2 linked regions of the Sus scrofa genome follow. Each later gene encodes a partner of the first gene's protein in a complex. Links are inferred from orthologs where the notes say so. Each region holds a gene or a part of one and is shown on either strand. Other genes may lie near its edges. The genes, in order: GIPR and GIP.

Region 1 (3,816 bases):
CCTTCTGCCTAGAATCTTGTCGCCAAGTCTTCCCAAAGCTGTCTCGCACCTCTTTCAGGCATGGCCTAAATGTAACCTCCTCAGAGATGCCCCAAGACCACCCTAGGCCCCCTTCTAAGGATTCTTGATAAGCTCTTCCACCGTGTATATATAGCTTGATGAGTCGGCCTCAGGTCTGTTCCTGCCACTCAGTTGTGATCCTAAAACAACAGAGACCTTGTCTTCTGTTTCCTTTCACCCCATCACCACCCGTTTCCCCAGCGCCCTTTTCACCAGGCCTGGTACACAGCAGGCGCTCAATAAATACGTGCTAACTGAATAGACACAAGAATCCTGCCGCCTAACAGTAACTTTCCAAGATATGGCTGGCCTCATCCCCGGGACCTGGAAGGGTCCTTGAGCACGGAGAGCGGCCCGCGGGGACCTGGCCGTGGCCGGAGCCCAAGCGCAGGGTCTGGAAGGCGCGCTCCCGGGGCTGGCGCGGCTCCTCGTCGAGGCTGTGGCGCAGGCGGCAGCGGTGCCAGCCCCGGCGGATCTCAGACTGCACCTGCAACGGGACTGCGCTCAGAGGCGGCGCCGGGCGCGCCGTTCCATGCGCGACCGCCAGAGGGCGCGGGCGGCGGGCCGAGGCTCTCCCTACCTCCTTGTTGATGAAGCAGTAGAGGACGCTGACCAGGAAGCCCTGCCAGACGAGGCGCAGGGTTAAATCGGGGCTGGGGGCGGGGTTATAAACACCTCTTAATGACTTCGGACCCTTTCTAGGCCCCAGACCACCTCGTCTGCTGCCACTCTGGTCTTAGGCTATTGCCGACACTTTCTCCCTGGCTCCCGACTCCGCCCTTGGCCCTGGTCAATTTTCTAAGCACTTGGGGATGGAGGCTAAGAACAGGTGACCCCAAAAGTAGGCTGCTTGGATGTAATAACCGCTTCCCCACTTGGGCAAGCTGCTTAACCCCTGTGCCTCAGTTTCTTCATCTGGAAAATGGAGGAATAATACAGTGGTGGTTGTGAGAAGTGAGGTATTATTAATATGTAAGACGCTCTGGTGCATGGGACAATAGTTAAGCCTTTTTCTGTTTCTCATAATAACTTTCTACATAATATATATTATTAATAAACTTTAATAAAAAGTTGTTTTTATATTTATTTAAATTTTACATATTTTACATATAAATTTAAATAAATATAAAATAGATTTATAATTAAGTAATCCACACGTTAATATGAAACAATTATTTCCTGTGTAATTATTAAGATGTTACTTATTATCACTTTTCACAGTCCGGTTTAAGTCTGATTATGTCCCTCTGCTCCTTGGCTCCCACCTCATTCGGAGGGAAAGGAGTTCCCACTGTGGCTCAGAGGTGATGAACCCAACTAGTATCCATGAAGATGTGTGTTCCATCCCTGGCCTCACTCCGTGGGTTAAGGATCTGGCGTTGCTGTGAGCTGCGGTGTAGGCCAGCAGCTACATCTCCAATTTGACCCCTAGCCTGGGAACTTCCATATGCCTCAGGTGCAGCCCTAAAAAGACCAAAAAAAAAAAAAAAATTCATTCAGAGAGAGAGCTTAAGTCTTCAATTGGTCCAAGGACCTGCCCAGGTACCTCACCTCTGTCCTACCCCCACCTTGCTCTTGCTGACTGTCCTGCATCAGGCGTGCTGGCCTTTCTCCATCATGACAGGTGACAGGTACCATCTTCTGCCCCAGGGATCTTGCACTTGGTGTTTCTCTTCCTGGAACATTTCCCCAAATACCTTCTTGCCTTGTTCCCTCCTCTTCTTTGGGTCTCCGCTCCAGTGTCTTTTCAGAGAGGCCTTCCCTAACCCTGTCTGTAACTTCATCCTTCTTTGCCTGCTCCTCACTTCAGTTTTCTTTTATTTATTGATTTATTTTCTTTTCTGGCCGCCATGTGGCATATGGAATTCCTAGGCCAAGGATCAGATCCCAGCGGCAGTGGCGACCTACACTGAAACTGCAGCAATGCAGAATCCTTAAACCAATGTGTGTGGCCAGGGACCAAACCCATGTCCCAGCGCTGCAGAGACGCTGCAGATCCCCTTTTGCCACAGCGGAACTCCCCCCCCCTCCTCTAGGCACATCTCACCATCTGATATTCTGTATATTTTACTTACATAGTAGCATCTTTAGCATTTACCTCTCCCAGTAGAGGGTAGGGACTACTTGGTTCTTGGCCGTTTTACTGCAGTAAGCCTAGAAGACTTCATACATAGTAAGTGTTCAATAAATTTTTCCTGAATTTTTTGAATGAGCGGCCTTATGGAGAGAGACTAGTATTGTCCCCACTTTAGAGATGAGAAAACTGAGGCCCAACAAGGTAAATCAGGGTGGGGACTAGAATAGGGCAAGCAAGTGCAAGGTTGAACAAGCATCTCCTTCCCTTTTGCACTTGAGGCACTTCACCTGCCTCACCCTTGCTCCTGCCCCGAGGTGAAGGCCACAGAGCTGGAATGTGCTAGAACCTAAATTTGGCCCGAAGCCCTTGATCTGAACCAGGAGGCACCACCTCTGGAGCTGCCTGGTCTCCTTCTTCTCCCTGCCACTTCCCCAGCCTGGAATGTAGCTAGCTCAGTACTTTGTGTAGAATAAATAAACAAAATCCCATCTTCATGCCCCATTCTGTGGCTGCAGCGGCTCCTGCGCCAGGGTGATTGTAGCCCTCTGCCCCTCTGGGTAGGAGGACCCCATGTCAAAGGGTGTAGAGCCTGCACCCCGCTTAGGCACCTGGAAAGAGCTGAGGAAGATCTCAAAGGCGAGCTTGGCCAAGCGCAGGGCACCCCGGGCCTGTTCCTCAGTCACAGGAGCAAACACCACCTCGTGGACGCCCAGCAGAGGCACCAGTGTCAGCGTGGAGCGAGCCAGCCTGGGGGTAGAGGGTAGCAGTGGTCCCACAGCCCCAGGTCCCCATCTTGCACACAACCACTTTCCCCTCCATCCCCACCGCCCTCCTTTACCTCAGCCGGTAATCTGGGCAGCGCATCTGTCGAGTCCTCAGCTTTGACAGGAGGATGCCAAGGATGCGGATGAAGATGAGAAAATTAATCTGTGGGGAGAGAAAGACTCAACCAGCCCCATACTGTCTTGGAAAACAAAGCATAGCTCCCTGCTTCCCAGGGTGGGAAATCCCTGAGACCAGCCTGGAGGAGGTGGGGCCGTCCGTACCAAGATGGTTAGGAGGATAGGGGTTCTTATGATCCACCAAATGGCCTTGATATCATTCCGCTCCCAGCACCTGGAGGAGGGGGAGTAGAGCTAAGACAGAAAGTCATAGGCTCAAGGGATCAAGCTCCCCAGGCCCCGCCCACCTTCCTTAAAACCACACCCACATTTCCTTAAAGCCCCGCCTGCTATGATTTAGGCCCAGTCCCCGTCCCTCCCCGGACCGTACTTCTCGAACACAACTTTCTAAGCGACATCCTTCCTTTAGACCCCACCCGGGCCCTAGGGGCAATTAGAACCGCCCCAAATTTCCATCACGCCCCGCCCACGTCCCTCAAAGCTCCGCCCACCTCCCAAGCCCCGCCCCAGGCCCCACGACTCACTGCGTGTCCTCGTACAGGTACCTGACGATCACCCAAGGAATGACGAAAAGCGCGGGGGCCCCTGTGCAGACCCCAACCCCCGCCCCCCACCCCGCCGCAGCTGTCAGAGCGCGCGCACGGCCCCCCAGCCAGGCCCAAGACCCGCGGAATCCCCGCCGGGAAGGGGAGGCAGAAGCCTAGAGAGGGGAGGAGAACCCCCGGGGGAGAGCAGCAGGGAGGCTGGGCGAGGGGAGGCGCGCCGGACTGGGCAGGG
Region 2 (2,651 bases), on another chromosome or scaffold:
TTCCTGTTTTGTCTCAGCAGGTTACAAACTCAACCAGTATCCATGAGGATGAGGCTCTGATCCCTGGCCTCACTCAGTGGGTTAAGGATGCAGCATTGCTGTGAGCTGTGCTGTAGGTTGGCAGCTGCAGCTCTGATTCAAGCCCTAGCCTGGGAACTTCCATATGCCTCAGATGCAGCCCTAAAAAGAAAGAAAGAAAGAAAAAGAGAGAGAGAGAGAGAGAGAGAGAGGGAGAGAGAGAGAGAAAAGAAAAGAAAAGAAAAGATTAAGGTCTCTCTCCACCACTAGACTATAAACTTCTTGGGACCAAGGATGGTGTCTTGTCTCCATCATTGCTGTATACCCAGGGTTCAGGCTGTATACCCAGGGTTCAGCACAGTCGCTGCCTATGTTAAGTGCCCAATAAGTGTTTGTGGAAAAAAACAGATGAATCGACAGATGGGTAGGGGCGTATCTCCTTTGCCCTGGTGGCGCGCACACACACACACACACACACACACACACACACACACACACACGAGGACAATGATGCAATCAGTGCTCAGTAGCCACACGAATAAGTTTTGACTTTGGGCACAAAGATTTTATTTTGGTTTAAACTTAGTTTGGTTTCTTTGGGGTATCCTGGAGTGGAGCTGGGGCAGGAGCTCAGTACGTGAAGGGCAGAGTCCAATCCTGAGCTGGGTTTGGTCGGTGTCACGGAAACCTGTGCAGAGTAGAGGGAGGAGGGGGAGAGGTGGAGAAGAGGGTCAGTATCGGCTTGGAGTCAGTAAAGTAAATTTATCCTGGCGCCCAGCCAGAGTTCAAAGGCTCCTACCTCCAGATTACCTTTTTAATTATAAATCATCAAAATGATTCCCAAAAGCACAGAGACTGTTATCCATCTTCCTGGGGAGACTTTCTCATACTCTCTTCTTCACCGTTCTGGTCACATCCATCTCTTCCTTCAAACCCTCGTACAGGAAGTCATCCCAAATTTGTCCCCTCTGTCCCTCAACTTCCCAGAACTGAAGTCTGAATTTATTTTTGTTTCTGTGCCTTGGTGTTTGCATCTTTTTTGGGGGGGGGCACACTTGCATCATGCAGAAGTTTCATGTATCAGGAATCAAAACGGCGCCACAGCAGGGACTATGCCAGATCCTTAAGCTGTCCTACCCAAGGGAACTCCGTCCTCTGCATCTTAATTGAGGGTCCTGTCTGACCCTTCAAGTGGAAGGATCTGTTCCATGGTTTTGTTTTTTGCTTTTTGTCTTTTTGTCTTTTTGCCTTTTCTGTGGCCACACCCATGGCATATGGAGATTCCCAGGCTAGGGGTCTAATTGGAGCTGTAGCCACTGGGCTACGCCAGAGCCACAGCAACTCAGGATCTGAGCCTCGTCTGCAACCTACACCACAGCTCACAGCAACGCCGAATCCTTAACCCACTGAGCAAGGCCAGGGATCAAATCTGCAACCTCACGGTTCCTAGTTGGATTCGTTATTCACTGCACCACGACGGGAACTCCTGTTCCATGGTTTTGAGCCATCCCTTGCTTCTGAGACATAAGAGACGGAAAGACTTCCTAGCTGATGAGATGGATTCAAGGACTACTGAGACCAGCAGCAGCTACAGAGAAGGGCAACGTGCCTCCATCTCTCGTGGGTCCATCATCGAGAAGTTGCGCATGGCACAAGGATACAGGAGGAAAGCTAAGGATAGGATGGGCTCAGGTGGGCAGGGGAGGTGAGAGCAGTGTCTCACCTGGAGGACATTGAGGGAGAAATGCAAGTAGTACTAATAATTGTCCACATGACCAAACTCTTGGTACTCTGCAGATGTTGCTCTCGGCCTGTCCCTTGCATTATCTTGTTTAAATCCCACCAAATCCCCTGAAGTGGTTTCACTAGCCCCAATTTTCATGAAAACCCTGAGGCTCAGAGAGTCCAAGTAATTTGTTAGTGTGTGTTGGGGCAAAGAGCTGAACGCACATCTGACCCCAAAGCTCAAGCTCACAACCACCCTATGCAAGACACCCAAAGCCACCAAAGTCTTACCGGAGTCTGCAGAGCTCCAACTGCTCCACCAGCCAGGCCAGCAGCTCTCGAGTCAGTACATCCTTTAGCACATCATCATCACCGGGGTTCTGGGGGAGGGAGCTACAAAGGAGAAAGTCTCCGGCAGGCCCTTTTAGCCTGGGCCCCACCGCAAGAGAGTAAATACAGGGCTTGGGACTCCAAGATGGCGGGACAGGGTCGGGGGCGGGGTGCAAGTCAACACAGCTGCCTCTCAGTTATCTCAGCTTTCAAAGCTCCACCCAGATCTGTCTGCCTGGTACTATAGGCTCTTCAATAGAGGCAGAGACAAAGAAATCCAGCGGAAGCCAGCCCACCCATCCACCTCGAAAAGTGTTCCCCAGAATGCATTCCAAAACCCCAAGAGATTACTTTGGGGATATTCACTCCTTTTTTGGGGGAGGGCGCACCTGTGGCATATGGAGGTTCCCAGGCTAGGAATCGAATTGGAGGTGTAGCTGCCAGCCTACCCCGCAGCCACAGCAACATGGGATCCTAGCCGCATCTGTGACCTACACCACGGTTCACAGCAATGCCCAATCCTTAACCCACTGAGCGAAGCCAGGGATCGAACCGACATCCTCATGGATCCTAGTCGG

The links.
Region 2: the proteins of GIPR (region 1) and GIP are in contact, whole or in part, in a cryo-EM structure (PDB 7RA3), measured with the Homo sapiens proteins. The link is inferred for Sus scrofa from reciprocal best matches to the Homo sapiens genes GIPR and GIP. Residues at the interface, in NP_000155.1 of Homo sapiens: Gln30, Thr31, Ala32, Leu35, Tyr36, Trp39, Tyr68, Trp71, Leu88, Trp90, Arg101, Arg113, His115, Asn120, Gln130, Arg131, Leu134, Glu135, Leu137, Gln138, Tyr141, Tyr145, Arg183, Ile187, Arg190, Asp191, Pro197, Gly198, Pro199, Tyr200; in NP_004114.1 of Homo sapiens: Tyr52, Ala53, Glu54, Gly55, Thr56, Phe57, Ile58, Ser59, Asp60, Tyr61, Ser62, Ile63, Ala64, Met65, Asp66, Lys67, Ile68, His69, Gln70, Gln71, Phe73, Val74, Trp76, Leu77, Leu78, Lys81.

Annotation. Positions count from the first base shown.
Region 1 is NC_010448.4:52,028,936-52,032,751, reverse strand, and holds part of GIPR (gastric inhibitory polypeptide receptor), read right to left. Parts: intron 3,625-3,816; coding exon 3,564-3,624; intron 3,254-3,563; coding exon 3,184-3,253; intron 3,065-3,183; coding exon 2,976-3,064; intron 2,885-2,975; coding exon 2,746-2,884; intron 714-2,745; coding exon of another isoform or gene 683-713; coding exon 341-682; 3' UTR 1-340. UniProt on the Homo sapiens protein: This is a receptor for GIP. The activity of this receptor is mediated by G proteins which activate adenylyl cyclase.
Region 2 is NC_010454.4:25,160,222-25,162,872, forward strand, and holds the end of GIP (gastric inhibitory polypeptide), read right to left. Parts: intron 2,137-2,651; coding exon 2,035-2,136; coding exon of another isoform or gene 2,031-2,034; intron 707-2,030; coding exon 697-706; 3' UTR 562-696; downstream 1-561. UniProt on the Homo sapiens protein: Potent stimulator of insulin secretion and relatively poor inhibitor of gastric acid secretion.